Linked DNA regions of Canis lupus familiaris. The main gene of each other region encodes a partner of the protein of the gene in region 3 in a complex. Links are inferred from orthologs where the notes say so. Each region holds a gene or a part of one and is shown on either strand. Other genes may lie near its edges.

The links.
Region 1: the proteins of RELA (region 3) and NFKBIA are in contact, whole or in part, in a crystal structure (PDB 1NFI), measured with the Homo sapiens proteins. The link is inferred for Canis lupus familiaris from reciprocal best matches to the Homo sapiens genes RELA and NFKBIA. Residues at the interface, in NP_068810.3 of Homo sapiens: Arg50, His181, Lys221, Ser238, Phe239, Ser240, Gln241, Ala242, Asp243, Arg246, Arg253, Asp294, Arg295, Ile298, Lys301, Arg302, Arg304, Thr305, Tyr306, Thr308, Phe309, Ile312; in NP_065390.1 of Homo sapiens: Thr71, Glu72, Asp73, Asp75, Phe77, Leu80, Ala81, Ile83, His84, Glu85, Glu86, Leu89, Leu110, Gln112, Leu117, Ile120, Thr121, Asn122, Phe142, Arg143, Leu150, Gln154, Arg218, Asp226, Leu227, Gln249, Tyr251, Gln255, Leu256, Trp258.
Region 2: the proteins of RELA (region 3) and SFN are in contact, whole or in part, in a crystal structure (PDB 7O6I), measured with the Homo sapiens proteins. The link is inferred for Canis lupus familiaris from reciprocal best matches to the Homo sapiens genes RELA and SFN. Residues at the interface, in NP_068810.3 of Homo sapiens: Ala43, Gly44, Ser45, Ile46, Pro47, Gly48, Arg50, Ser51; in NP_006133.1 of Homo sapiens: Glu14, Tyr19, Leu43, Ser45, Val46, Lys49, Asn50, Gly53, Gly54, Arg56, Lys122, Arg129, Tyr130, Gly171, Leu174, Asn175, Val178, Glu182, Ile219, Leu222, Asn226, Leu229, Trp230.
Region 4: the proteins of RELA (region 3) and KPNA4 are in contact, whole or in part, in a crystal structure (PDB 7LF4), measured with the Homo sapiens proteins. The link is inferred for Canis lupus familiaris from reciprocal best matches to the Homo sapiens genes RELA and KPNA4. Residues at the interface, in NP_068810.3 of Homo sapiens: Lys301, Arg302, Lys303, Arg304, Thr305, Tyr306, Glu307, Phe309; in NP_002259.1 of Homo sapiens: Lys231, Asp271, Arg306, Asn310, Val312, Thr313, Gly314, Thr315, Asp316, Thr319, Lys344, Glu345, Trp348, Ser351, Asn352, Ala355, Glu387, Trp390.
Region 5: RELA (region 3) and CHUK share a complex: the UniProt entries of both Homo sapiens proteins name them as parts of the 70-90 kDa complex. The link is inferred for Canis lupus familiaris from reciprocal best matches to the Homo sapiens genes RELA and CHUK.
Region 6: the proteins of RELA (region 3) and SETD6 are in contact, whole or in part, in a crystal structure (PDB 3RC0), measured with the Homo sapiens proteins. The link is inferred for Canis lupus familiaris from reciprocal best matches to the Homo sapiens genes RELA and SETD6. Residues at the interface, in NP_068810.3 of Homo sapiens: Glu307, Thr308, Phe309, Lys310, Ser311, Ile312; in NP_001153777.1 of Homo sapiens: Ser120, Trp122, Val220, Met221, Ala222, Tyr223, Ser224, Phe225, Gln226, Glu227, Pro228, Pro238, Asn239, Ser240, Pro241, Asn259, Leu260, Tyr262, Asn283, Thr284, Tyr285, Met288, Met296, Tyr297.
Region 7: the proteins of RELA (region 3) and NFKBIB are in contact, whole or in part, in a crystal structure (PDB 1K3Z), measured with the Mus musculus proteins. The link is inferred for Canis lupus familiaris from reciprocal best matches to the Homo sapiens genes RELA and NFKBIB. Residues at the interface, in NP_033071.1 of Mus musculus: Lys218, Lys221, Ser240, Gln241, Ala242, Asp243, Val244, Arg246, Gln247, Asp294, Arg295, Arg297, Ile298, Lys301, Arg302, Arg304, Thr305, Tyr306, Thr308, Phe309, Ile312, Met313, Ser316, Pro317, Phe318, Gly320; in NP_001293151.1 of Mus musculus: Tyr53, Thr55, Glu56, Asp57, Asp59, Ala61, Leu64, Ala65, Ile67, His68, Gln69, His70, Pro72, Phe73, Phe76, Asn91, Leu93, Gln95, Leu100, Ile103, Leu104, Gly105, Arg125, Val137, Arg275, Leu283, Arg284, Asp306, Lys307, Leu308.

What each region holds. Positions count from the first base shown.
Region 1 is NC_049229.1:14,263,084-14,267,146, reverse strand, and holds the start of NFKBIA (NF-kappa-B inhibitor alpha), read left to right. Parts: upstream 1-1,263; 5' UTR 1,264-1,391; coding exon 1,392-1,618; intron 1,619-2,198; coding exon 2,199-2,307; intron 2,308-2,650; coding exon 2,651-2,861; intron 2,862-3,146; coding exon 3,147-3,235; intron 3,236-3,366; coding exon 3,367-3,627; intron 3,628-3,948; coding exon 3,949-3,996; 3' UTR 3,997-4,063. UniProt on the Homo sapiens protein: Inhibits the activity of dimeric NF-kappa-B/REL complexes by trapping REL (RELA/p65 and NFKB1/p50) dimers in the cytoplasm by masking their nuclear localization signals.
Region 2 is NC_049223.1:72,665,232-72,668,338, forward strand, and holds SFN (14-3-3 protein sigma), read right to left. Parts: upstream 1,850-3,107; 5' UTR 1,750-1,849; coding exon 1,003-1,749; 3' UTR 501-1,002; downstream 1-500. UniProt on the Homo sapiens protein: Adapter protein implicated in the regulation of a large spectrum of both general and specialized signaling pathways. Binds to a large number of partners, usually by recognition of a phosphoserine or phosphothreonine motif.
Region 3 is NC_049239.1:52,050,666-52,054,851, forward strand, and holds the start of RELA (transcription factor p65), read left to right. Parts: upstream 1-1,386; 5' UTR 1,387-1,401; coding exon 1,402-1,471; intron 1,472-1,702; coding exon 1,703-1,729; intron 1,730-1,812; coding exon 1,813-1,985; intron 1,986-2,125; coding exon 2,126-2,274; intron 2,275-2,898; coding exon 2,899-2,990; intron 2,991-3,555; coding exon 3,556-3,687; intron 3,688-4,186. UniProt on the Homo sapiens protein: NF-kappa-B is a pleiotropic transcription factor present in almost all cell types and is the endpoint of a series of signal transduction events that are initiated by a vast array of stimuli related to many biological processes such as inflammation, immunity, differentiation, cell growth, tumorigenesis and apoptosis.
Region 4 is NC_049255.1:26,798,771-26,802,776, forward strand, and holds the start of KPNA4 (importin subunit alpha-3), read right to left. Parts: upstream 2,801-4,006; 5' UTR 2,627-2,800; coding exon 2,558-2,626; intron 1-2,557. Other genes in the region: insulin receptor substrate 4-like, read left to right, coding at 3,020-3,263, 3,319-3,653. UniProt on the Homo sapiens protein: Functions in nuclear protein import as an adapter protein for nuclear receptor KPNB1. Binds specifically and directly to substrates containing either a simple or bipartite NLS motif.
Region 5 is NC_049249.1:13,186,549-13,190,848, reverse strand, and holds the start of CHUK (inhibitor of nuclear factor kappa-B kinase subunit alpha), read left to right. Parts: upstream 1-1,500; 5' UTR 1,501-1,570; coding exon 1,571-1,675; intron 1,676-4,300.
Region 6 is NC_049223.1:57,410,847-57,415,028, reverse strand, and holds the start of SETD6 (N-lysine methyltransferase SETD6), read left to right. Parts: upstream 1-1,382; 5' UTR 1,383-1,419; coding exon 1,420-1,446; intron 1,447-1,567; coding exon 1,568-1,738; intron 1,739-1,847; coding exon 1,848-1,992; intron 1,993-2,071; coding exon 2,072-2,213; intron 2,214-2,345; coding exon 2,346-2,540; intron 2,541-2,657; coding exon 2,658-2,778; intron 2,779-4,125; coding exon 4,126-4,182. UniProt on the Homo sapiens protein: Protein-lysine N-methyltransferase. Monomethylates 'Lys-310' of the RELA subunit of NF-kappa-B complex, leading to down-regulation of NF-kappa-B transcription factor activity. Monomethylates 'Lys-8' of H2AZ (H2AZK8me1).
Region 7 is NC_049222.1:115,001,088-115,005,367, reverse strand, and holds the start of NFKBIB (NF-kappa-B inhibitor beta), read left to right. Parts: upstream 1-1,480; 5' UTR 1,481-1,565; coding exon 1,566-1,744; intron 1,745-4,280. Other genes in the region: SIRT2 (NAD-dependent protein deacetylase sirtuin-2), read right to left, coding at 1,101-1,226. UniProt on the Homo sapiens protein: Inhibits NF-kappa-B by complexing with and trapping it in the cytoplasm.

The DNA.
Region 1 (4,063 bases), on a different chromosome or scaffold from region 3:
GGACCAATTCTAGAGATAGAAAAATTCTGTTAGAGGCTGGTTGGCTAGGAGAATGGGGGTAGGGTGGGGAACGTAAGTTATATTTCTGCAGGTGAAACCAAAGGATGAGGAGCCCATAGGGGCTATACACAGCGCCTGGAGAGGTCCAACTGCTGCCCTCTCCAGGGCAGGAGAGCAGGGAGCCAGCAAGAGGGTAATGTTAGGTTGGCGGGAGGGTGGCCTTCTGTAGGATGCTTTGCAATCTAAACCATCCTTAAGGCCCAATCTTGGGTAAGGCACTTCTCAACCTATTCTTCAGCCTCTTCCAAATGCTTCTGGAAAGACACCGGCTGGGTACCCAGAAGTAGGCTCTGCAGCAGCACAGTGCAAATCAGGAAACATGACCTCAATAATTATTTTGTTCGTGCAGGGCAGCTAGCTACAACCTCTACTACAAAGATTAACACCTTGCTTTACCTGAAAAAAAGTATGGTCCTGTTCAGCGTTTTCGCTGAACACAGGGCAGAGTGCTTGCCTCTCCACCAGTCAACAGGAATGTTAATCCCGAGGAAATGATTTGAGGGTTCTCCAAGCATTTCAATGCCAAAAAATGCCAAAAGCTTTTTGGCTTTTAATGCCAAAGCATGCACAACTTTTACCTGGTTGGGGGGGGGGGGGGGCCTCGAGGGAGTGCTACGTGTGTCCCCGCGCCACAAAGAGCCTGGCATTGGCAGGGTGGCAGAGGCAGCCGGCGACCTTCTAACCCGCCAGTGCGTCCTTCCCCGCAGAAGTTTGGGGAAGCAAATCCCTACGTCCAGCCATCATTTCCACCCGAGTTTTCAAAAGATCAAGAAACGGAAAGGTTGGCAAACCCCAAGGAGGAACTGCCTGGCGGGTCTGCGTTCATTGGGATCTCAGCAGCCGACGACCCCAAGTCGAATCGATCGTGGGAAACCCCAGGGAAAGAAGGCCGCTTGCAGAGGGACAGGATTACCGAGTGCAAGCTGCAGGGAAGTACCGGGGGAGGGGGCCTCGGTCGGGAGGACTTTCCAGCCGCTCAGCGTTCATCAAAAAGTTCCCTGTACATGACCCCAGTGGCTCATCGCCGGGAGTTTCTCTGATGAACCCGGCTCAGGGTTTAGGCTTCTCCCCCTTCCTCCCCCTCCCGAGCAGAGGACGGGGCCAGTTCTCTTTTCTGGTCTGACTGGCTTGGAAATTCCCCGCGCCTGACCCCGCCCCGGAGAAATCCCCTGCCAGCGTTTATAGGGCGCCGCGGCGGCGCTGGCGAGCCCACAAGAGTCGCAGCCAGCGGTCCTGCGTCCGTGACCCTGCGAGGCGAGGCGAGGCGAGGCGGCGAGCGCGCAGCCCGCGGCCGAGCGCACCTGGGCAGCAGCGCCGAGCCTTCCCGCGCCATGCTGCAGCAAGCCGAGCACGCCCAGGACTGGGCCATGGAGGGTCCCCGGGACGCGCTCAAGAAGGAGCGGCTGCTGGACGACCGCCACGACAGCGGCCTGGACTCCATGAAGGACGAGGAGTACGAGCAGCTGGTGAAGGAGCTGCGGGAGATCCGTCTCGAGCCGCAGGAGGCGCCGCGCGGCGCCGAGCCCTGGAAGCAGCAGCTCACCGAGGACGGAGACTCGTAGGTGTCTCGGGGCGGGCGGGGACGCCGCGCCTGCAGCGCGAGGCCGAGGGGCGGCAGCCGACCGGGGTGTGGGCACCGATCCCCCGTACACCCCTGGCCCCGGGACCGCGCAAAGCTGCCGGCTGCGCTGCGGGCAGCAGAGGAGGGTCGGATCCCGGGCTGGCGGTGCAGCAGCCCTGCGCTGCAGCGCGCACCCCCACCCCCCAGCCCCGGTCCGGAGCCGGTCCTGCCGGCGGGGGCGGGGCGGCGGCGGGGACGCGAAGTCCCCGCTTGCACAAGGGGGGCGGGAGCTCCTGCCCCGCGGGCGGGCGCCGGGGGGCCGGGAGGGGAAGTACAGGGCGTTCCGGCCCGGCGGGAGGGCGGGGCGGTCTGGCCGGCGCCCGCCGAGGAGGGAGGGGGCCCGGAAAGTCCCTGGGCGCCTGCCAGGAACACTCAGCTCATAATAACCTCGCGGAAAACACCGCGGCCTCGGCCTCCAGAAACCCCGGCCTTGCGCAATCCCCCGCAGCCCGCGCCTCCCTGGGCCCCACGCGATGCACTCACCAGCCCTGGGGGTTTTTCCCTCTCTTCCCCTTAGGTTCCTGCACTTGGCCATCATCCATGAAGAGAAGGCCCTGACCATGGAAGTGGTCCGCCAAGTGAAGGGCGACCTGGCCTTCCTCAACTTCCAGAACAACCTGCAGCAGGTGCGCCGGCTCGCCCAGCCCTGTGCCTCTGACCCAGTGATGAAGTTGGATCTAGCTCAGTTGCTCCCAATCCTTTCTAAATTAATAATCACTGGGCATTATGTACCTTGACCTTTTTACATTGGAATCGGCCAACGTCCTAGAGAATAAAGAAAATTCTATTGATTTGGTGAGGCCTATGATGAAAGCCCACCTGCGGCCTCTGGCATTTATCTTGCCCTTCATACCTGTCTGGGAGGAGGAGCAGCACCCACAACCAGTAGATCTCCGGAGTTCAAGGGAAGACAGACTCTTGAGTTTGGGCCATGGCTTACCCTCTTTCTATTCCCTCTTGTGTTTGTAGACTCCACTCCACTTGGCTGTGATCACCAACCAACCAGAAATTGCTGAGGCACTTCTGGAAGCTGGCTGTGATCCTGAGCTCCGAGACTTTCGAGGAAATACCCCCCTACACCTTGCCTGTGAGCAAGGCTGCCTGGCCAGCGTGGGAGTCCTGACTCAGACTTGCAGGACCCAGCACCTCTACTCCATCCTCCAGGCCACCAACTACAATGGTATGTCTGCCTGCCCTACCCTGCCCATCAGAAGGCAGGTGACATGGAGAAGGGAGAGGTAGGCCAATGTTAGGAGTCCAGGCAAGAGCTGAAACTCTGAATACTTGAAAGGTTGAGAAAATATGCATGCAAAAGGTCTGTTTCATGCCTTGATAAAGTTCATTCAGAGCCCAGATTCTGGGTTCTCCAAATTCAGAATTTATTCCCTATAAGAATAGACAGAAAGTTCTGCTTGAGATCTGAGGGTTGAAGCAAGTGGTTATATTTGCTTCATTGTTCTTCTAGGTCACACATGTCTACATTTAGCTTCTATCCATGGCTATTTGGGCATTGTGGAGCTTCTGGTGTCTTTGGGTGCTGATGTCAATGCTCAGGTGAGTTCTTCATGTCTCCAGATGGAACGCATCAGGGCTCCAGGCCCTCCTCAATAAGACCTCACATGTTCTTGTTGCAAGTAGAAATTCCAAACTCAACCATAAACATCTCAAATTCCTTTTGGTTTCAGGAGCCCTGTAATGGCCGAACCGCCCTCCATCTTGCAGTGGACCTGCAGAATTCTGACCTTGTGTCGCTTTTGTTGAAGTGTGGGGCTGATGTCAACAGAGTTACCTACCAGGGCTACTCCCCGTACCAGCTCACGTGGGGCCGCCCAAGCACACGGATACAGCAGCAGCTGGGCCAGCTGACCCTAGAAAACCTTCAGATGCTGCCAGAGAGTGAGGATGAGGAGAGCTATGACACAGAGTCAGAGTTCACAGAGGACGAGGTGAGTGTCAACTCCATCGCTCTGCACAAAGCAGTACCCTCCCAGGTCTCTAGAGCTCCTCTTTATCCAAAGAGCTCAATGCAATGAAGTTCTCCCACTTTAGTGTTCATGACCAGGAGTCTCCCAAAAGTGTGTCTTTGTTTTTTGCTCTTTTTAAAGGAGAGGAGCATTAAAGAAAAACTTCCTTAGCCCCTGAGGTTAATTTATACTTGGGTTATGGAGAATGGAATCCAAGAGTACTTGATAATGGCCCTCACCCTTATCCCAGTACCTTTGACAAAACTGGAAGCTTAACATGGCTTTTTTTTCTCTTGTTTTTAGCTGCCCTATGATGACTGTGTGCTTGGAGGCCAGCGCTTGACGTTATGAGCTTCAAAACATATCTAAAAGAACACGGACTTGTATATTTGTACAAAAAGAGAGTTTTATTTTTCTA
Region 2 (3,107 bases), on a different chromosome or scaffold from region 3:
AGTCGGAGCGCTGGGGGCGGGGGCATCCCCTCTCAGATACGGGCTTTTAATGGCGGCGCAAGCCTCTACCCAGATTGTGCTCCCCTCCTCTCAGATCTGAGCACTGGATGGGCCTCTAACTCGCTTTCAAGGCCGGGGTGCTCGCTGCGGCTCACTACAACCTGTCCTTGTCGCTCGGACCTCACACCTGAGAGGCTTTCCTGTCCCCTCAGATCTGGACTCTTCAGCCCCCCGCCCTGCAGCCCTAGAGCAGCCTTAGGGCCGCCTTTGCGCTCCCCCGACCGTCCGGGACCAGACCAGCTTGCTGGGGGCCACCCTGATGGAGAGCTGGACCTCCTGCCCCCCAGCCTCTCACCTGGGGTCACTGGCTCCAGAGTCTTGCCTGTGGGTCCCTGAGCCAGCCCCGTGAGAGGTCAAGGCCCTAAATCAGAAGTCAAGGTCTCTAAATCATAAGCCAGTCCTTGTCCCATCGCTTCGCCAATAACTGGAAGAGACAGGAGGAGTGTCACAGGGGAGCTTTATTGAGAGGAAACAGGGTCACACCCAGCAGACATGCTTTCCCTTTCATCCGGGTCTTGCGCGCTCTCACTCGTGCTCTCACTCGCTCTCGCTCTTTCACACACACACACTCATCTCCAGGCTCTGCCATACAGTCCAGCTCTCAGCCACAAGGGTGGGACACTCCTCAATTCCTAAGATTCAGAGGCAACGGGGGGCAGGAGGGAGGCAGGAGGGGGAGGAAGTGGCCCGGTTGGCGGTGGGGTTTCGGGGAGGGGTGCGGAGAGCAGGGGTGGGCGGGCCCCGACAGCGGCAGGAAGAGCGAGTCCCCCGGCCCTAGCCGGCCTCAGCTCTGCTGCTTCCTCTCCTCGGAGCTCTCGTGAGCAGGAGGCAGAGCATTGGGGTAGGAGGGTCGGGCCTCGCACCCCACACTAGTCCTCTCTGCCACGGGCGGGCGGGGTGCTGGAGAGGGCAGGGCGCGGCGGGGAGGGCGCGGTGGGCGGCTCAGCTCTGGGGTTCCTCGGGAGCCTCGCCCCCCTCTTCCCCGGCGTTGTCGGCGGTCCACAGCGTCAGGTTGTCTCTCAGCAGCTGCATGATGAGGGTGCTGTCTTTGTAGGAGTCCTCGCTGAGGGTGTGCAGGTCAGCCATGGCCTCGTCGAAGGTGGTCTTGGCCAGTGAGATGGCCTCCTCGGGGCTGTTGGCGATCTCGTAGTGGAAGACAGAAAAGTTCAGGGCCAGGCCCAGGCGGATGGGGTTGGTGGGTGGCATCTCCTTCTTGCTGATGTCCATGGCCTCCTGGTAGGCGGACCGGGCTGAGTCAATGATGCGCTTCTTGTCGTCACCAGTGGCCACCTCGGCCAGGTAGCGGTAGTAGTCGCCCTTCATCTTCAGGTAGAAGACTCGACTTTCGGCATCCCCGGCCTCCTTGATGAGGTGGCTGTCCAGCAGGCCCAGCACCGTGTCACACACGCCCCGGAGCTCGGTCTCCACCTTCTCCCGGTACTCTCGCACCTCCGGGCCCTTCTCTTCCGAGCTCTCCTCATTGCCTTTCTGCTCGATACTGGACAGGACCCTCCAGGCAGCCCTCTGGCCCCCCACCACGTTCTTGTAGGCCACCGAGAGCAGGTTTCGCTCTTCGCAGGACAGCTCCTCACCCTTTTCCACGGCGCTCTTCATGAAGGCTGCCATGTCCTCGTAGCGCTCAGCCTGTTCTGCCAACTTGGCCTTCTGGATCAGACTGGCTCTCTCCATGGCTCTGGTGACAGACAGGCGGCGGGCTAACTGGCTGCCTTGAAACCGATGCCGGATTCTGTGCCTCTCCTGCTCTCTGCCTGCCTTTTGGCTGGAAGGTCTGGCCCCAGAGAGGGGTGGGGAGGGACCGAGGGCGGGGCTGGGGCCCGGGACCTGCCTCCCTCTGGTCTTCTCCCCACACCCTTTCCGGCTCTTCCTTAAAGGTAAAAGGCTGGGATGTAGGGTGAGTCATCGGGGCTCAGTCTGCGGGAGAACTCCGCCGGGCGTCGGCCCCACCTGCACAGGACACCTTTCCAAGCTCCAGGCTGCCCCCTCTTGTTCGGTGCTTTGATTCCATGAGTGCCCACCCAGATGCCCCAGTTTCTCAAATCAGATCCTCCTTCATGGTGTTCTTCCAGGGGCCAGGGATGGCTTCAACCAAGTGGCCGCTTCAGCCTGGCTAGAGCGCATGAAGACAGGTGCACCCAGGAGGATGGGGTTCTTAATCCTACCAGGTACATTTTCCACCTTGGTTTGGGTGAGATAATTATGTTTAGGTAGGGCTGTAGTTTCCCAAGCACCTTCACAGCCACGATTGGATTGAATCCTTACTATGTCTCTGTGAGATGGGCCAGACTATGACTTTTACTCCCACTTTAGAGGTGGGAATGCTAAGGCTCAGAGAGGGATGAGATTTGCTCAAGGTCACACAGCTAATAAATCCCCTGTATCCTACTTCCTTTGGCTTCTCTCGTCAAGGCCTCTGACTTGTAAGCTCCAGACTGTATTTAGAAGTGAAATCCAGGCTTCTTCCGGAGTCTACCTGAAATGGTTCTCTCCCTTGGTCATCACCCCCCCTCAGGGTTCCCTCTGAGGTCCCAGAATGCACAGGTGGCATCGTTCAGGGTGCCACTTAATGAGGTATTTAATGAGCGGCCCCTGACGCTCCAGCCCAGCCTTTGTAATTAGTCATCCAGTAGGTTTGTTGGACACCTTCCCCATCACAGCACAATTTTCCCTTTCAAGTTGGTGGCCTGTTACCACTTGTTTGAGGACCTACCCTCTGGCTCTCCACGCCAGGTCACCTACCCCCTCCAAGCCGCCTGCCATCATGTATCAGTGGGGCTCACACAGGGTGGGGGCCCAGCTCTCCTGCCTGACTCAGCCTGCCTTCTGTCAAAGGCTGGGAAGCAGGCCACTTGGGTGCTCAGCCCAATTTGGTTCCCCAAGGGGGACGCTAGCACCTGGAGAGAGAGACAGGACCAAGATAAAGAAGGTGGCGGTGACACATACCATTTTGTTTTATAGGGTAGCAGTACCAGGTGAGTGCTGCCTCCCCCAGTCTGCCTCTCAGAAATTTCCCTGTCCCTTCCCTTTGA
Region 3 (4,186 bases):
TACTGGCCTTGAGCTCGGCCTTGGGGAAGATACCCGCTGAGAGGTCATTTGGTGGGTAATTAGTGGAAATGCTTTGGACCCTAGCAGTAGGCCCTGGAGAGACGAGCGGAGGCGGGAATGACCCTGTCGGTTTAGGCGGCCCCAGAAGTACCGGACTTTCTAAGAAGGATATCTGGCTGCAGAGACGAGGCTCCGAAGATTTACCCCTGGGCGCCTCTTGTCCATCCATCGCCCCCGAGGGCCGACAGTATGGAGGAACCGTAAACGCACAGGCTTCTTAACCCTAAAAGCCCTCAGGTGCCCCCTCGCCAGCGGGAGCAGACGCGGCGCCACCTGGGTCGCCCTCGAGCAGCAGGCTCCACAAAGCCCACGGTGCAGGCGCTGCCAGGTGGAGAGATCAGGTCGTCCCCCTTCGCCCCCACGGCGGTGGGTGGCTAATTAAAAAATGCTTATGCCGCGACCACCACCAAGAGGCACCTTTAGCGGTCAGAAGCCCCGTGGAGTTCGGTCACCTGGCCTTTGCGGGCGAATTAGGCCCGGGCCTTTCCCTGCGCAGGGCAGGCGGCCGCAGCCAGCAGTCCTGGCTGGGCTCCAGACCGGGCCCGGTGACATCACCAAACTCCTCCGATCAGCGGGAGGGGGCCCCCGAAATCCCCTAAAAACATTGTGAGTAATCACCGGGCCCGCCCTCCAGACGGAGCCCAGACCGGGGAGGGAGCCCAGCAGCCCTGCCAGCCCCGGAGCGGCGTCGGGACGAGCAGCCTCTTAGTCCCCGGAGCGGCGCAACCTGTCCCCAGCCTCGGGCCGTGGCGTCCGGCGCGCGGCCTCTCCGTCGTCGGCGCGGGGCACAGTTGCCCCCCGCCCCGCCCCGCCCCAGGGTGGCGGCGGCAGCGGCAGCGGCAGGGGCTGCGGCGGCCGCGGCGGCGGCGGAGGTGGCGCAGCGCGCAGGCGCGGCCGGATTCCCGGCAGTGACGCGGCGGCGGGCGCGCGCGGCGCATTTCCGCCTCTGGCGAATGGCTTGGCTGTAGCGCGCGCCGCGGGCCCAGCTGCGACCCCGGCCCCGCCCCCGGGACCCCAGCCATGGACGGTGAGGGCGCCCTCTGACCCCGCGGGGTGGGCGCGTCGGGGCCGCGGGGATGGCGACGGGAGCCCCCGCGCCGCCTTCCGCCCCTTCCTGCGCCGGCGGGTGCTGCGCAGGGAGCGGCCGGCCGGATGGTGGCGCGGGGCGGGGCGGGCTTTGAAGGGTCTGACTCAGTTTCCCCACTGGGTGGCGGGGTCTTGACTCCGTAATCTCCGGGGTGGCGGGGAGCTTCGGCCCAGCTTCACTCCGGGGCCCTGGGCGCAGGTCTGACTTCGTTTCCTCGTTAGGGGAAAGTGTATCCGACTCCGTTTGCTCTCAGGATGAGGCGTGGGGGTGCCCTCCGTAGTTTTCCTTTTGGAAGTAGAACAGCCTCTGACTCCGTTTCCCTCAGTAAGGAGAAGGCGCTCTGGCCAGTTTTCCCTCGGGAAACAGCTGTTTCTGCCTTCTTCACCCCTTCCCCTTAGTTTCACCGCAGGTTCCAGGGAGCGGGCCCTGCCCCAGTGCCCTTGGCGGGGAGGGAGCCTGGCGCTCTGTCCTCTCCGTGAGGAAGCAGGCGCTCCCCGGTAAGGACGGAAAGGGGGAAAGGGGGCTTGTGCTGATCCTTGTCTCCCTCCCTTTCAGACCTGTTTCCCCTCATCTTCCCAGCTGGTAAGTGGACCGCCTTCCCTCTCGGTGATTGGGGGAGGAGTGCCCTGGGGTTAGGGGCGAGGAGGGCAGCCGCCTGATTGGAGCTGGTCCGGGTCTGGCCACAGAGCCCGCCCAGGCCTCTGGCCCCTATGTGGAGATCATCGAGCAACCCAAGCAGCGGGGCATGCGCTTCCGCTACAAGTGCGAGGGCCGCTCAGCGGGCAGCATCCCGGGCGAGAGGAGCACAGACACCACCAAGACCCACCCCACCATCAAGGTCAGCATGACTGTTAGTGGTGGTGTGGGGGGCACAGGGTGGGTTTGCCGCCTCCAGGTGGGGGGTGGGGCTGGGTGCAGTGTCTGGGAGTTAGGTTTGGACTTCCCGGAGTCTCTAGAAGTTCTCTGTACTTTGAACAGATCAATGGCTACACGGGGCCAGGGACAGTTCGCATCTCCCTGGTCACCAAGGACCCCCCTCACCGGCCTCATCCCCATGAGCTTGTGGGGAAAGACTGCCGGGATGGCTTCTATGAGGCTGAGCTCTGCCCCGACCGCTGCATCCACAGGTGAACTCCTGACCAGCCGGGTATGGGGGGTGAGGTGAGGAGACGGGAGGCTGGGTGGGTGTGTAGCTGTTATAGTGTTACTCCATTCTGGACACTGGGAAGAATTCTTCACTTCTAGCTTTGCAAGCAGATTCTCTTTGCCTTGAAATCATCTGTGCATCTCAACTGTCAAGTAGATATGAGCTCCATGGGATAGGAATGGATCCCTAATAACCTCTGAACCCCCAAAGTAACTTCACTGATGAAAATAACATAGTTAGGTTGGAAGAATAGCCCACTGGTGGAGGGAAGGTCGGCAAGTTGGAGGTCAGGAAAAGCCTCTCTGTTAAGGCTTGAATAGTGAGGAGAGCAGAGAAGCATGGGAAAAAACATTTCAAGCAGAGTGAACAAATGCAAAGGTCTTGAAGTGGGGGTGAGTTTAGGGTGTTTGGGAAACAGAAAAGAAGCGGCTGTTACTGAGGGTAGGGAGCCCAGGCAGCAGGGCACAGATGCTTGTCAGCCAAGGTAAAGAGTGGGTTTCTTTACAGCACAATAGGAAGCACAGTGGTGATTTGGTGAATGGGGAGGGGAGGGAGGAACAGACTGGGCAGAGACAATGGGACTAATACATGGAGAGGGACTCAGCTTCCAGAACCTGGGGATCCAGTGTGTAAAGAAGCGGGACCTGGAGCAGGCCATCAGCCAGCGCATCCAGACCAACAACAACCCCTTCCAAGGTGAGGGCTGAGGGATCCCTGGGTGGCGCAGCGGTTTGGCGCCTGCCTTTGGCCCAGGGCGCGATCCTGGAGACCCGGGATCGAATCCCACGTCGGGCTCCCGGTGCATGGAGCCTGCTTCTCCCTCTGCCTATGTCTCTGCCTCTCTCTCTCTCTCTGCCTGACTATCATAAATTTAAAAAATAAAATAAAATAAAATAAAAAACAAGTTGAGGGCTGAGGGAGCAAAGGCTGAGACCTGTCCGAAGCACCCCCACCCTCTCTGGTTCTTCCAAGCCACCTCCCTTATTGGCCAAGACTCTTAGTACTGATGGAATTTTGCTGCCCATTCAGTACCCACTCCCATTTACCACTGGGGAAACTGGGAGCCAGTGAGGGGGCATAACACCCAGGGGCACAGGTGGGTCACACAGTTCAGTGATGGGTCTAGAATCTTCTCTCTCTCCTCCTTTAGGACTCCCACTGTTTGACACACCCTCAGACAATGCTCCCGGGTCCAGAGCTCCCTGCCCCCCTCATCCCCTGCCACGCCTCCCGGTCCCCTGACCGTCTATTCTTGTGGCAGTTCCCATAGAAGAACAGCGTGGGGACTATGACCTGAATGCGGTGCGGCTCTGCTTCCAGGTGACAGTGCGGGACCCGGCAGGCAGGCCCCTGCGCTTGTCACCTGTCCTCTCCCATCCCATCTTTGACAACCGTAAGTGACCAAGGAGCCATGGGAAGGGTAGAGGGAGGGACAAGCCTGTGAGGAGGAAGGGGTTGGTGGGGAATGGCCCACTAGAGGAGCTCTGGCTTCATGCAGGCATCTAGTGTATTTGTCACCTCTTCTGTGTCCAGCTCTGTGCTGGCTGTGGTGGGGGTTGGGGGGGGGGGCGGTTAATGAGACAAAGAAGACCTGGATCTGCCCTTAAGGTGTTAGCTTCAAGGCTGGCAGGAAGTCAGATAGAAGACAGGTACTTGGAATATGTGATGGGAGGATGGTGTGCCCGTAACTGTACTAACGACTCTGGGAAATGAACTCCTGGGAACAAGATGATGTTACAGAGTAGTACTTCAATGATGAAGCTCATAGGAAGTTCACAGATGGGGACGCCTGGGTGGCTTGGCAGTTGAGCGTCTGCCTTCAGCTCAGGGAATGATCCTGGAGTCCTGGGATCCTGGGATGGAGTCCCACATCAGGCTCCCTCTATGGAGCC
Region 4 (4,006 bases), on a different chromosome or scaffold from region 3:
TTTGAATAAGTGAGGAGAAAGTACAGTTTCCACTAGAGTCATGTCATTTTCCTAGGTGAAACAGTGAAAATATCCCTATTTCTTTTGTACCCACAGGGTTATCAAAGTCCTCAAGGATGTCCCTAGGCACTATAAACTTCTCAAAAAAATCTGGTTAATGTGTTTATAGTTATTTTTAAAAATCACTTATAATATTGTTCTAATAGAGTCAGCACAATCTTATTTTGACTAATGTGATAAGAAATTGACAGTAAGAGGAAACATCAAATTACCAAAAAAAAAAAAAAAAAAAAAAAAGGATCGCTTTAGAACAGTTTGGCAATCCCAGAAAAGGTTACGTTTAAAGTTACCGTATAACCCACTGGTTCTACTCCTTGGGATATAACCAAAGAGAAATGAAAACATAGGTCCACAAAAAACTATGTACATAAACGTTCATAGCAGCATTACGCATAACAGCTAAAATAGAGTGGAAACAAAGCAAATGTTCATCAACTGATGAACGGATAAACAAGATGTGGTATATCCATAGGCTGGATTATTATTCAGCATATTACTCAGCCATAAAAAGGAACGAGGTGGAACGAGGCTCTGTTTTATTTTTGTTACATGTGAAAACCCTGAAAACATTATGCTACCTAAAAGAAGCCAGTCACAAAAGATCACATACTATGTAACTCCATTTATAGGAAATATCCAGAATAGGCAAATCTAGATGGAGAGTAAAGGGAAATAGAGATTCTTTTTGGAGTGATAAGACCATTTTAAGATTGGCTGTGCTAATGGCTGCACAGGGTTGTATAGCATAGGAATTACATTTCAATGAAGCTGTTTTTAAAAAAAAAAATGCAGCCAGAAATGTAGGTGAAGGGAAAGCATCAGAACTTGTCAAGCATCTAATCGCTATTTTTTGGATTTTGTAACTTGAGGTATTTATGTTTTTAAATTTCGTAATGGTTTTCATTCTAAATATTGATATCAGTAAAAAATTTCCTTCATCACAGTATTACCCAAGTAGGTAAATTTAATGAAAAAATCGTAAGTTGTACCTTTAAAGTGGTGATTATTATGGCATGTGAATTATATCAATAAAGTTGTTAAAAATTTTCCACAGGAAAAAAAGGATCACAGGATAATATCTCACATTAACCTTAAAACAATCACAGAATTAAGAACCACATCCTCAGGTATTTTAATAGATCCTCAAACTATGAAACCTACTGAAAACAACACAAACTACCTTAAAGATTGAACGGCTTTGTGAAAAGCCCCCCAGGATAGTTACTATCTCAGTCAACCAAATGCTCAAAGTTCAGAAACAGGTGATGGGAATTTGGAGATTTTAGTATAAAAAAGTACAGAGGAAGCAATACAAAAACTACTACTTGACCACTTTTTCTTTTAAAAGCTACATTCCTGATGCAGGCACAGGATGCACGTATTAAAAAAAAAAGAATCGATTTACCTAGACTCTCAACACTGAAGGGAAGAAAAGTCTATCAAAATTCTGTGATTGGTGTGCGTGTGTGTGTGTGTGTGTTTTACCCACACACCTCATGTAGCCTAACCACCTGGGGGGGGAGGGGGAGCTGTATCGAAGATAATCAAGGGTTCCCCCCCACCCCCCTTCTAAAATAAAACGGGATGGTGCCATTCCAGAGCCCACCCCATCCCCCACTACCACCACCTGCAGGTGGAGGGAAAGGATACTGTAGACTAGAGGATGACAGCTTTGTATAACCCTGTGGACTTTATATATAAGAATGCAGCTGGTGGTCTCTCAGGAGGGGATAAAGAGATTTGTGAGCAAGCTGAAATAAGGGGTATTCTTTGCCTGGAAGAGGGCACACCGTGAGCCACATCTTGAATCAGCTATATCCAGAGTAAAACACAGGCCGCTGGAAGGCACTGTTAGCATCCACCAGGATGGCCTCTCACGCCGGGGGTGTTTTTTTCAACGGAGAAGTTGACTCCTGTAGTTTGGACATCGGGGGGAGGCAGGGGTAAAGCGGGAGTCGGGAAGACCAGAGAAAACGCCTTTAAGTGGAGACGACTCGGACCCCGCAGGGGAAGTTCCGAGCCCCGCTCGGTCGCCGCACGCTCGTCCCCCCCCCCCCCCCCACCGCCCTCCTCACGCGGCGCCAGACGGCGGGGCCCGGGGCAGAGCCGGAATCTCCGCCGGGGCCGGGGCCGGGGCCGGAGCCGGGGCCGGGGCCGGGCCGGGGCCGCGCGGCACACGCACGCCTCCTCCGCGCTCGCCGCGCCCGGTCCTCCCCGCCGCGCGGCCCAGCCCCTCGCACCCGCGCCGGGCCGGCTCCCCGGGGCAGGCCTAGGCCGCGCCGGCCGTACCCCCGCACCCCGCTCCCGGGCGGAGGGGGGACCAGGCCCGACACAAACTTCCCGGCGCGTTCGCAGAGGCGTCACGCACGGGCCGGCCCCCAGCGCCATTCCCCCGCGGCCCGGCGACGGCGCCCGCCCCGGCCCCCCACGCCCGGAGTCCCGGCGGACGTCGGCCCGAGGCCCGCAGCCCCCACCCCTCCGGCGCCCCCGAGTTTACCTCCAAGTCGCGGCCTTTGTTCTTGAAATTCTTGAGCCGTTGGTTGTCCAGTTTCTCGTTGTCCGCCATGGCCGGGCCGGTGACTCCTTCCCCCGCCCGGGCCCCCGCGGGATCCGCCCCAACCACCACGCCGCACCGACACTCCCAGGAACCGGGCCGCCGCCTCAGCTGCAGTGCCCGCCGCGCCGCCGCTTCCTCCCTCCTCTCCGCTGCCTCCGCCGCGGCCTTCTCCTCCTCCTCTCCCCGCCCGCCCCCCCCGCCCTAACCCCGGCGCGACCGCAGCTCCGCCGAAGACAACTGCGGGGCCGGGCGGCGGCAACGGCGGCGGAATGTGCTGCCGGCTGAGAGGGGGAGGCAGCCTCGATCTGAGGGCCCCGGAGCCGCGGCCACGCCCATCGCCGCCAGCCCCGCTCGCCGATTGGCCAACCGGGCTCCGGTGCGCTCGACCAATCAAAGAGGACGATGGAGAGCGGGGGGCGGAAGAGAAAACGGAAAGGGGAAGCGAGCGGCGCGGGGAGGAAGGGCCGGAGGGCGGGGGAGGCTGGGAGGGCGCGGCGGGGGCAGGGCGGGGAGGGACCACGTGCCCGGGAGCCGCCGGGAGGAAGCGAACGGGAATTGGGCGACTTGGGGGGCGGCGGGGAGGGGAAGGGAGGCCCGGGAACGAGTTGGTTCGCTCCTGTTGCCGGGGCCGCTTCGGACCTCTGCGGTCCAGGATTGGGGCGGACTTAAAGTATCCCCCCGCCCCCCCCCCCCCCCCCGAGTGCGCCTTCTCTTCCAGGGCACGGCTCGCGCGCTCCGCTGGCTTTACAGGAAGTGCGAGCTGCGCCTCGGCCCAGTCTGGGTCGGGACACGCGCCCGCCGCCCCCCGCCCCCCGCCCCCCCGGGGTTCCCGCCGCGCGAGGCCCGGGCCGTGGGCTTGGGACGCGCAGGGGGGACGCGCGTTCGCGAGTCGCGGCGGGAAGCGAGAGGGACAGCGGGTGGGAAAGGGAAAGGACGCCTTAGGCGCATCCGACCCGTCCATCCCTGCACACCTGTCCCCGCAACAGGTAGGAGCTCGGGAAGCGCTGGTGACCCAGTGATGCTACAGCCTCTTAAGGTACCTCGTCTTAGGAAGTCAAAGAAGCTGCTTGGCCGCAAAGTGCTAACTTCTGGAAGGCGGAGACCGCGGCACCTGCCGTGATGTGGTGCTGTGACTGCGGGGAGAGAATGGATTCCGAGGATGTACATTTGTGTCGGGAATATTATTACTAGAGAGGCGGAAATAATACGAGCTACGAAGGAACGTGTGCGAATATTTCAGAAAAAAAAAGGGGGGGGAAGGAAATAGTTTGAAAATATATTTACCCATTGATTGCATCTCACATATGCAGGGAAAACGAAGTAGGCTGCAAGACCTCGGGTCGGAAGGAAAGGGGGCGGTGTAGGAGCATTTGGGTGTGTTTAAATTTG
Region 5 (4,300 bases), on a different chromosome or scaffold from region 3:
GCAACTATGACCACTTCAGGGTCAGCGCACTCATCAGTATCCCTCCCTAGCTCTTCCAAGTGAGCGTTACAAGAATATGGCTCCAACTGTGGAGATCAAACATACTCTAGTGCTAGCTATGCAGTACACCTAGCAGACAAAGGGCTTTATATGTTAGGGGCAATTGGTACCACAATCATCTGTGCAGTCTGCCCAACTCTAGCAGATGTTTGGGAAGTACCATTTGCCATCACCTCCAAGTCTGATACTCCAGCTCCATAGCAACCAAGCACATGTAGGAATCCATCATCTGCTACCACACATTACTGAGGCCTAACACGGCTTGTACATGCCATGCTCAACATTTTGGTTGTACCATTCAGGGATTCTGAATCAATAGATGCATGTTCTCTGCCAGAAGCCAATTCAATGCTTTCAAAGCAGCCAGCAACACTGCTGTGATGCACATGCTGTATTCATCTTTAGGCTTCTCAACATGTTAATCTGTGGGTCACAAAGTGTTGGTTGGAATTTAAGTACTGAGATCACAGGTGGGACTGTGCAAACGATGGCCCAAGTGCACATGATGTCAAGGGGTGTTCAAATGACTACTTTATGGAAGCAGTAACTGATATATTTCTTCAGAGAACTGGATGCCATAGTAATTTTTATACCCAGTTCTGGATATACTGACTGGATCCCCAAGTTCTGTGAGGCTGAGGCATATGACCAACTTAAAGTGAAAATGGGAGGTTGGTTCTTCCATGCTAAGGCTATCTGCCAATGGCAAATGCTTCTAGTTGCACCAACAGCATTCCTGAAGCTTGCCTCTGCAGCGCTGCATCACGAATCAGACACAGTTCCCTCAGTGAGGAACCACTGCACTGGCAAACCCATTAATGGAAGACCGACCACTGGACTGCAACCTCCATGAGGCACTTCGGGGAAAATTCCCCAAATCAGGAGGAACATTCTTTACTCCACAACAGTGTCACATCCTTGAGTCCTTTGTGATTACAGGCGAGATCCTGGTACAGGTGTACAGGAAGTCAAGCAAAAGATCTGAGCCTGATTTTATGGAAGATGATTAATCATTAAAAAAAAAACTATAAAGTGTAATGCATCGGTAGACGTGTTAGCGCAGGATTCTTTATAGTTTTTCGGATTCCGCAATATTTGAATCACTGGTGGCTTCTGCCAGTGCCACTTCAGCGAGCGGCGGAGTTGGAGGATAGATGGTAGAGGTCTGAAGAAAAGGTGAAATGCAGACAGGGTGGAGACGATGTGGAGTTTAGAACATGGCTTGAATGGAGAGCTTATAGTTTGGAAGCCTGGGAAATCCTATGTGGGTTCTCTCAGCCAGGAGAATGCCCAGGAGACTTAGCGGACTGGAAGCGAGCTGCCCTCATCCCGACCCTTTCTCTGGCCAGGTTCCTGTGTGCCCCCGGGAGCAGCTAGGGAAGGGCTTTTCCTGTGGCGGTTACCGGAAGTGACGCACACATCTCGCGAGAAGAAAGACGCGCGAGTCTCGGCGGCCCGGAACCGGCCTGGGAAGAGTGGCTGAACTTCAGGCCGCCAGCCCTCCCGCCCCATGGAGCGGCCCCCGGGGCTGCGGCCGGGCGCGGGCGGGCCTTGGGAGATGCGGGAGCGGCTGGGCACTGGCGGCTTTGGGAACGTCTGTCTGTACCAGCATCGGGTGAGGTGGGGCGAGAGAGGGAGCGGCGGTGGGTGTTTGTCAGAGCGTTTGTGGAACACAGCGACTGTCAGTACGTGAGACATTGTCGGTGAGACTTTGGGCAGCACCGTGGGCCGGTGAGCCTGTGTGAGTGAGTGTGTATTACTGTGCTTGTCGGTCTGGTGACTGAGTCCGAAGCTGTATCTGAGGTCCTGGGTCAGTGTGTGAAATAGAGCTCTTGTGGGGGAACTTTTGGTACGAACGTCAAGAAGTGACAAACTGTTTACCGAGTGTGACACTGCGATTGTGTCTCCGAGTGTAGAGGGTGTCGGGATGTGGGAGGCAGAGCCACATTAGAGTGTGTATTGTGAGCATGAATGGGTGAGAAAACGGGACTGAAGAAGGGGGTTGTCTGTTGGAATGTGTGTTCAAGTGTGTGCTTGGAGGCTGTGTGATATTTGTAGGGGCTGGAAGAGACAAGGAAGGTTTCGGAAGCATCCAGTAGGCTTCAGATCTTGGAATGCGTTCTGAGTAGGGAACAGTGTGAGGATCAGCTTGGTGAAATGATCATGGCTTCCTAAGGGAAGGAAGTAGATTGGGCGTGAGGTGGAAGACAGCTAACATCGGAGTCAGGAATTTTGCTTCAATTTAATTGAAAATGTTTAAGCATTTAGCAGCAGTTAATAATCATGTTTGAGCCATGCATCTTTCAGTATACCAATAAAAGCTATGAAACCTTTCCCCAGCAAAATGCACAGTTGCACATCCCCACCACCTTAGGTGCTGCCATTTGAGGGGGCTCATGCTCTCCTGAAGGATGTTCACAAACCTTTTAGAGGTATTAACCCTTGACTGATAATCTTTGCAGTGTTGCCTTTGTTTTTGTCATCTGTATTTTGTGTAAGATAGTTATATACATCATAGGTCTGTTTGAAAGTTAAAGAAGTTAATATGGGTAAAGCTAAGTACAATACCTGGCCTAAGTTAAGCCCTCAAGTGTTAGTTCCTGCTGCTGTTGTGTTGTTGCTATTGTCATCTTCTTTACCATTATTTTGTTTTCTTCTTTACCATTATTAATTAAACTTAAAAAAGGATACGTCAAGATAAAAGTGGCGCCCTTGGAGGACTGTTTTGTAAAAGATAAATCTGAGTGAAAAACACGGGACAAGATGAACAATTACAATATTATTCAAATGCATGCAATTGGCTTGTAAAGGGAATAAATGAATTCAAGATTTGCTTGAATCTTAAGGAATAGGGGTATGGGTAGAGAGCCCATAATATAGGATGGGAGGTAGGGGCATGGGAGTATACCTGGGAAAAATAGGTATGTTTGTGTGGCAGTCACAATGACAAATGTCAGTGATGGAGCTGAAGAAATGTTGTGAAGCAGCTTTCTAGATAGAGCATGGGAGGACATCTTGAAGAGAGGGAGAATGGGAGGTGAAGGACTAAAGCATTAAGTACTCTGACAGCTAAACAAGTAGTAAATTTAATAATTCTCACCATCAGAGAGTACATAAGGCACTTAAAGAGAAAAGAAGGAGCCAAGTACTTCCAGTGAAATGTTGCCTTTGGTGTTGTTATCTAAGCCTGTTCATTAGCCTGGTCATAAAAAAATATATGCTTGGTAGCTTGCTTTGTGACTGCTTTTCTTGGTCACTGGTTGGAAATAGATCAACACATCATTTTTTAAAAAAATTGTGATAAGGTATATATAATGTGAAATTTACAATCTTAACCATTTTTAAGTGTACAGTTCAGTGGCATTAAGTACATTGACATTGGTATGCAACCATTACTACCATCTATTTCTAGAACTTTTTCACTTTACCAGTCTGAAACTGTATTCATTAAACAATAACTCCCCATTTCCTCCTCCCCCTGCCCCCTGGCAACCACCTTTCTACTTTCTGTCTCCATGGAATTAATTACTTATTAAATGGAAGAGATTTGGGTTCCTCTAGAATCCTAGAAATCTCTCAGGAACTTTCCAGGTATCTAGACTGGTTCTTTCCTCAAATTGGAACATTTGACAACGGGGCTTGTAGTGGAAAGAGAAGAAATACTCTAAGACTTGGAAATAGCTTCATTACTTTTCCAAGCCTGACTTTGGATTTGCCCTTAACAGTTTTCAAGATCTTTGTGTTTTGGTGGAAGCCACGTCCCCAGTATTTTATCTATATCTCTTAAATCACAATGAGGAAGAGAAAAGGATGTGAGATGGTTTATTTATCAGATTATTATGCTGGGATGGGTGCTGATGGTATCCCAGTCAACAAAAATCGTATTTTCTGCCCTCAAGGAGATTTCAAGTCTAGTGGGAGAGGTAGACACAAAAACACTTTAAGTACAGCGTGGTAACCTATATAACAGATATATTTATAAATTTTTTTTTAATTTTTATTTATTTATGATAGTCTCACAGAGAGAGAGAGAGAGAGAGAGAGAGAGGCAGAGACACAGGCAGAGGGAGAAGCAGGCTCCATGCACCGGGAGCCCGATGTGGGATTCGATCCCGGGTCTCCAGGATCGCGCCCTGGGCCAAAGGCAGGCGCGAAACCGCTGCTATGATAGAGTGGCAAAAATAACCAAAGAATTCTTCCTAGGGAATAATGTAGCACTTCTCAAAGTGTGTTTGGGAAA
Region 6 (4,182 bases), on a different chromosome or scaffold from region 3:
TGGTCTCTTTGGTCAAGTGAACTTCTACTGGAGTTTATTATTTTCCTCTCTGTATAAAGTGAAGAACCTAACTTTATGTATTCTGGTGGCTGATGTCATGAAACTTTGAGATGACAAAATGTAAAACAAATAAAAACCCTTGTCAAATAGAGTTAATTAACTGTGTTGACAAACTAATAAGTGAAGAATTCAAGTATAGTGCCGCCAGGCCCGTTACGGGAAGCTTTTGAGATGGCAGCATTGAGGTCCTTCCTGGGTTTAGGTGGGACTGAGTATGCAGGAGTTCCCATTGCTGTTTCTACTTCTAGTTCTATTTAAAAAACTCAACTCCTGGGGACCTGAACTCAGGACCACTCAGATCAAGAATCACATGCTCTACCAACTGAACCAGCCAGGTCCCCCACTTATTTACAGTTCTTATCACATTATCTTACCAATCCTTATGTGTTTTTGTTTGTTTGTTTGTTTTTTTAATTAGCTAGTGAGGAAGAGCAGCGAAGAGGGGGAAGTAAAAGGAGAAACAGATTCCCTGCTAAACCGCAGCCCGGTGCTGCGGGATCCCAGGACCCCAAGATCATGACCACAGTTGAAGGCAGATGCTTCACTGAGCCACCGCCCAGGTGCCCACCCATCCTTACGTTAATTCCACATGGTATATGTTATCTCAGTTTCACAGCTGAGGAAACAGAGCCTCAAGATAAAGAATTTGCCATCTTATTAGGCTTCTTATTAAGCCAAGCTGGGAGCTGGCTTTAACATTGTGTGACTGCAAAGCCCTCTATATTCGCTGCTTCAGTTTCTTAAAAGTATTCTACTTTCCTGTGTTTAACCACCATTTCTGATTCACTCATTTACTTAATAGATACTGCGTACCTGCTATGTGTCAACTAATAAAGCACGTAAATAAAACCCCATGTATACGATGAAAAACAGAGGGATATACTAGCAAGTGCGGCGGAGGGGCTATTCCAGCCCTGGGAACTCTTCCCGTGCCCCTTCCCGTGCCCCTCGGAAACACACACGCACGCGCACACGCAACCTGCTCTTACGGAGCAAATAACACGGGTTGGACGAGCTGAGTGGCTGGGACTCGAGATCAGGAAGGCAGACTCAGACCCTCGCTCGATGCGGGTCCTCTGGAGGGACCCGACCGCACGTCTTCTAGACCCCGCTGGGGACACCCCGGCCCCGGGAGCACGTTCCCGGGAGGAGCGATCGCGCAGGCTCCAAGCCCCGCTCGCCCTCCACCCCGCGGCCCGGGCCACGTCACGTGGCCCGCGTCCCCGCCCCCGTCCCCGTCCCCGCCCCCGTCCCCGTCCCCGTCCCCGCCCCCGTCCCCGCCAGGCCCTTCCCCAGACGCCGGAAGTGCGCGCGCGGGGCTCTAGGGCCGCGGGGCCGCGGGGCCGCGGGGCCGGGACCATGGCGACCCGGGCTAAGCGCCGGCGGGTAAGTCGCAGGGTCCTCCCCGCCGCGCCTCGTCCCTACCCTGCCCGCAGCGCGGCCCCCCGCCCCCTCCCTCCGCTCGCGCAGGCCCCCGCCCTCTCACCGCGCCCCTTCCCCCACCCAGAGCACTTCCTCCACGCGCGCCTCGGCCTCCTCCGGGGCGGGCCGTCTCCGCGGCGCTCGCTCGTTTCAGGTGGCGGGGCCCGTGCGCGGTAGCGACCCGGACCCGGACCTGGACCCGGTGGCCGGCTTCCTGAGCTGGTGCCGGCAGGTGGGGCTGGAGCTGAGTCCCAAGGTGAGGCGGCGGGGGCGCGGGCGCGGGCGCGGGCGGGGGCGGGGGCGCGGGCGCGGGCGCGGGCGGGCGGGGGCGCAGGCCAGCTCGGACCGGCCGCTCCCCCGTTCAGGTGACGGTGAGCCGGCAGGGCACGGTGGCCGGCTACGGTATGGTGGCCCGGGAGAGCGTGCAGCCCGGGGAGCTGCTGTTCGCCGTGCCGCGGGCCGCGCTCCTGTCGCAGCACACCTGCTCCATAGGCGGCCTGCTGGAGCGAGGTGGGTGCGCCTGCGGGAGCGGGACGGGGAGGCGGGCCGCGGGGTGGCGCCCGGGCTCTCACCTCCCCGTCTCCCTCAGAGCGAGGCGCGCTGCAGAGCCAGTCGGGCTGGGTGCCGCTGCTGTTGGCGCTGCTGCATGAGCTGCAGACCCCAGCCTCGCTCTGGAGCCCCTACTTTGCGCTCTGGCCGGAGTTGGGCCGCTTGGAACACCCCATGTTCTGGTGAGAGCCTCAGTACGGGTGGGGAGCACCAGCACCATAGCCTAGCTCAAACAGCCCTGGCCCGGGGACAGGGCTCCCAAGCACTAGTCTCGGTGGGATGTGTGAAGGGAACCCGGTGGGGTCTCCCTGCAGGCCCGAGGAGGAGCGCCGGCAACTGCTGCAGGGCACGGGCGTACCGGAGGCCGTGGAGAAGGACTTGGCCAACATCCGCAGTGAATACTATTCCATCGTGTTGCCCTTCATGGAAGCCCACCCGGATCTTTTCAGCCCCAGGGTTCGCTCCCTGGATCTCTACCGCCAGCTTGTGGCTCTTGTGATGGCCTACAGGTCAGTGAGCAGAACGAAGGACTTTTTTGCTTTAGAATTCTATTGAGGGATGAGAGGGGAAAGAACACTGAACCACACCCCAGTCTCTGGGCTTTAGCAAAGTTCTCTTTGTGGCAGCTTTCAGGAACCACTGGAGGAAGAGGACGATGAAAAGGAGCCAAACTCCCCTTTGATGGTGCCTGCTGCAGACATACTAAACCACTTAGCCAATCATAATGCCAATCTAGAATACTCTCCGGTGAGTGGATCCCTCTTAGTTATTCCTTTAAAAAAAAAATGTATTCATGAGAGAGGCAGAGGCAGGCTCCCCATGGGGAGCCCAATGCTGGACTGGATCCCAGGACCCTGGGACCACGACGTGAGCAAAAGACACTCAACCATTGAGCCACCCAGGTGCTGTTATTATTGCACGGATGATCAGGCATTTGATTCAAACCAGTGCTTGTCATTTATGCTGGTGGGACAGTTGGGCTAAGTGGGCTCCATTCTTGGCATGGTAAAAATGCATAGGTGAAATTAGCTTTTTTTTTTTTTTTTTTTTTTTTAATGTATCTTCAGTTTGTGTATTCCCGTCAAATAGTTTGAACACAAAACCTCAGCCCACAAAGAAAGTTTTGGTTAAGTCTCTGCTAAGCTACTGCAATCATTTTTTTGGTGCTGGAGGTTGGCTCCTCTATGCAGTCCGTACCAGTGAGCCAAGGCAGTGTTGGGGCCCTCCTGACATCAGCCTGGAACAGCTATACAGTCATTACTTTTGGGGAAGGGGGAGAAAAGGGCATGGCCATAGGTCAGATCTAAGATGATACCAGGGTTATGTATCAATTCCATTTGCTTTGTGGAAAGTTGCAAGAAAAGATCCGAGTTCTTGAAATTAGGGAATGGCTGTTTTTTTAATCCTAGCCTCTGTCTGCCATTCCTACTTTGATCTGAGTTTAACTGTTCATTTTTAAAAGCTAGTAGCTTTAAGTTCTGAAGAGGACTAAGGAGAGAGACTTACTTAATCAAGTAATGGGGCTAAACTTGACCTTTCTAAATCACACCTCTTTCATCCTATTGTACAGGCATGCCTCACTTTATTATACTTCAGATAGATTGTGCTTTTTACAAATTGAAGGTTTGTGTCAATCCTGTGTTGAGCAAGTCTATCAGTGCCATTTTTCTAACACCACATGCTTCACATCTGTTTTATTTTGGGAAGAATCTTAGTACAAAATTTCTCATTACTATATTTGTTTTGGTGATCTGATCAGTAATTACAACTCACAGAAAACTCAGATGGTTAGCACAGTTTAGCAATAAAGCTGTTTTCTACAATAAGATTTTTATATGCACTGGGATGTCAAAGTTCATTTCACTCGCATTTAAAAAAACTTGTTTTGTGGTGGTCTGGAGCTGAACCCTAAGTACAATTTCTGAGGTGTGCCTATACAGGATCATAATAGGAACTAAAAGTAGAATGTTGGTAGGTATGTGATCAGTCCCATTGTTGAACTGTACCCACTGGGAGGCTTTTCCTAAGAGGGAATTAATCTTCATGGAGCTGCCCAAAGAAAGGCCAGGTCCCAGCTTCTCCCTTCCACCCTAGAATTGTCTTCGGATGGTGGCCACTCAGCCCATTCCTAAAGGCCATGAAATTTTCAAC
Region 7 (4,280 bases), on a different chromosome or scaffold from region 3:
TGCACAGCTTTTTCTGCCAGTCCCCGGAATCCACCATTCCCAGGGGGCCGAACCAGGAGTGGGGGCAAGGGGCTGGGGTGATGCCCTGAGGGCCCTGGGGTAACTGTCTCCCCTCTGCCACCTCCACCCCCCCCAGAGTGTGGGGTGTGGGAACACGTCCATTTCTCTCCTTCCCTCCACCCTTCCCCAAATCTCACCTGAGCCTCCTGCACCTTCCCTGCCTGGGTCTCCAGAGGGTCAGAGGCTGGGGGAGGAGGGGGAGCAGACGTGGTTACAGTGCGGGGCACAGTTAAGTGGGGATGAAGGGCTTCAAAGCAGAGGGGCAAGGGGCAAGAAGACCCACCAACCTAATTATACTGGGGTGGGAGGTGGTGGTAAAAGCTGAGCAGAGGGAGGGAGGGGATGGGGAAAAGCAGATCTTATTAGGATAGACAGTGCTGTCTGGAGAAGTGGTTAGTGACAGACAGAGGCTGGGGCAGGAAGGTTTGGGAGAGGGAGGAGAAAGTAAAGCATACAGGCATGGAGGAAGACTTAGAAGTGAGGAAGCAAACAGTAGTGAGTGTGTGTGTGAGCACGTGTGTGTGCAGGGAGGGTTAGGGTTTACAAACAGAGGGAAGTTTAAAAAAGGAAGAGAGAAAACAAAATACGCTTAGCAGAGACAGGTTTAGGAAAGGAGGTGCAGTGGAGACAGCACGTTTAGGAGGGGCACAGGAACTAGAGGGACGAGACAGGAGGGGGCGCCAGGGGTCCCCGAGCATCCTACAGTTCCCCCTAACAACCAGGTACCCTTAGCAACCGGGGCCGCGGCAATCTAAGTCCTTAGCAACGAGGGTCCTCAGCAACCGAGGTGCGAGAAACACGCGGTCATTAGTAACTTAGGGGACGTAGCAAAGGACCCTTACAATCTCGCGACCCAGAAACCCACCAGCCTGGCAAGATGGATCACTTAGCAACGACCCCCCACCCCCGCCCCGATTCCCACTGGCCGCCATGCAGCCCCCGTCTCCAGCCCCACCACGCCGGTCCTCGGGCCCCGGGGCCTGCAGCCCTCAGCCAGGCCCCGGTGCGACCCGACCCTCCCACCGGGGCCCCCGACTCACGGTCCGGCTCGGCCATGGGCGCGGGGCGGGGGCCCTCGGGGCTGTCACCGACTGCTCTGTCCCGTGACGGCACCGGAAACAGGAGGGGCAGAGACAGGGCAGAGAACTACGACTCCCAGCAGTCATCGAGGATGCATACAGGCTTTTCGTCCAGCGGCGCCTGCCGCTCTCGGGCTAGGAAGACACGGACGGCGAGACTACGAGTCCCAGAGGGCTCCGCGCAGGCAGCCATGTTGGTAAAGGGCGGCCGGAAACTGTGGGAATGGGTAGAGAGCCGCAGTCCGTCTGAATACTCTGAATGGTCACTGTGTGGTAAGGGGGCGGGGCGTGTGCTCTTTAGGTCATTCTGATTGGGTGAGCCAAGGGGGAGTGTTGGGGAATTCCCCGCAGGGCGGAAGCGCCGGGGCTTCAGGCAAAGCCAGCTACAGGCGGGCGGCCGCTGGGGCCCCTGAGGCTTCGGGGGCCATGGCCGGGGTCGCGTGCTTGGGGAAAGCTGCGGAGGCCGACGAATGGTGCGACAGCGGCCTGGGCTCTCTGGGTCCCGACGCAGCAGCCCCCGGAGGACCGGGGCTGGGCGCCGAGCTGGGCCCGGGGTTGTCGTGGGCGCCCCTCGTCTTTGGCTACGTCACTGAGGATGGGGACACGTGAGTGAACCTTAGGCTGCCTAACGGGGCCCTAGGATCCCACCTCTGATTCCCTATTAGTCTCCTATCCCGGCTCCCTAACCTTTCACTCTTAAATCTAACTTCTGATGCTCGACTTTCTGATTTGTAACTCCTAACCTTTAGTAAAACCAATTTCCTAGCCAACTTTGACCCTAACTCCTTAATTTCTCCGACTTTCCTTTCTTGAGCTCTGCTTCATATTGCTCCACATCCCTATCCATTGATCCCCAAACTGGTTTTGATCTTCCCGACCCAAGTCCGGAGACCTTTGTTAGAGTTGTGGTCCAGACAGGCTCCTCCTCACCTCCTACCTCCAAATAGGATCCTTGATCCTTAGCCTCCTGATGGATGCGCCTTGAACTTAGATTTCCAAAATTAATACATGACCTTGATTCTTAACATTCTACCTTCTGAGCACCGATCTTCAGATCTTACATCCAAAGGGAAAACGTAAGCTCCATGATAGCAGGGATTGATGCCTGTTAAGTATTTGCTGAACACCACCACGTTCCAGGCACTGGTTTAGGTGCTGCGATAAAGCAGTGAGGAAAACAGACAAAAATTTCCGCTCTTGTGGAGTTTACATTCTAAGGTGCGTATGTAGACAGACAAAAGGACAGACAGGCTGACAGAAAGACAGGAAGGAAGGGAGGGAGGGAAAGAGGAGAGAGAAGGAACAAAAGAAACTAAGACACAGACGCAAAGTGAGAAAGAAGAGAAAGGAAAAGAAGAAACAAAGAAAAACGAAAAACAGTATAAAGGAAAGGCAGAAAAATAGTGTATCTGAAGGTAATAAGTTCTTTGGGGGAAAAATAAAGCAGGAAAACGAGATCCGTAGAGTATCTGGGGGAGAACTCTCCAGGCAGAAGGAACCAGAATTGTAAAGGGCGGTGAGGGATTGTCCTGGGGTTTTTTTGTGTATTTGTGTCTACTCATCCAGTCATGGTGACTAAACAGGGCTTGACCCATAAGAGGCGTGCAGGAAATATTGTTCTTTCCAAAGACCCCTGCTGAGGTTTCATTAGTTTTCTTTATTGGTTTTTTGCTTTCTATTTCATTGATCTCTGTTTTGATTTTCATTATTGCCCTCTTCGGCTTACTTTGGGTCTAATTTTTTTTTTTCTTTCTTTCTCTCTTTTTTTAAAGTTTCTTAAGGTGGCAGCTGAGATCATTCATTTGAGACCTTTCTTCTCTAACATTGGTGTTTCATGGTATAAATTTCCAGCAGCAGTACTTTAGCAGTCTCTCACAAATTCTGATATGTTGTGTTTTCATGTTCATTTAATTCAAGATACTTTGTAATTTCTCTTTTGATTTCTTCTTTGGCCAGTGGATTATTTAAAAATATGTTATTTAGGGCGCCTGGGTGGCTCAGTTGGTTGAGCTCAGGTTGTGATCTCAGGGTCCTGGGATGAGCCTCCCATTGGGCTCTGTGCTCAAGTGTGGCATCTGCTTGGAATTCTCTCTCTTTCTCCCTCTGCCCTTCCTGCTTATGCTCTCTCTAAAATAAATAAATAAATAAATCTTTTAAAAAGGGGTAGGGGGCAGAGGGAGAGGGAGAGAGAAACCCAAGCAGGCTCTGTTGGGAGCAGGGCGTGATCCCATGACCCTGAGATCAGGGCCTGAGCTGAAGCCAAGAGTTGGTCATCCAACCCACTGTGCCACCCTGATGCCCCTAAATAAATCTTTTTAAAAAAATAAATATGTTATTTAGTTTCCAGATATTTGGAAAGTTTTCCAAATGTCTCTCTTTTATTGATTTTTAATTTAATTCCCTTGTAGACTGAGAACATACTTTGTATGACTTGGATCCTCGTAAATTTATTGAGAATTGTTTTATGGTGCCACACATTATGCGTGCACTTGAAAAGAGTGAATATTCTGCTGTTGTTGGGTGTAGGGTTCTCTAAAAGTCAATTAGTGGTCCTATTGGTTTATCATTTTATATATCCTTACTAATGGTTTCTGTCTCCTTGTTCTATCAATTATTGAGGAGGGGGCATTGAAATCTCCAGCAGTCATTATGGATTTGTCTCTTGTTCTGTCAGGTTTTGCTTTGTGTAATTTGATGCTCTGTTATTAGGGCATGGATATGTAGAATTATTATGTTCTTTTGCTTAGTTGACCTCTTAATCATTACAAAATAACCTTCTCGATACTTGGTAATATTTCTTGCTCTAAAGTCTAGTATGATATTAAAATATTCACTCCTGGGCAGCCCCGGTGGCCCAGCAGTTTAGTGCCGCCTTCAGCCAGGGCATGATCCTGGAGATCCGGGATCGAGTCCCACATCAGGCTCCCTGCATGGAGCCTGCGTCTCCCTCTGCCTGTGTCTCTGCCTCTCTCTCTCTCTCTCTCTCTCTCTCTCTCTGTGAGTCTGTCATGAATAAATAAAATCTTAAAAAAACACAACTCACTCCTGCTTTCTTTTGACTGACTGGTGTTAGCACAGTATATCTTTTTCCACCCTTTTATTTTAACCTATCTTTTAATACCTATATTTAAAGGGTATTAC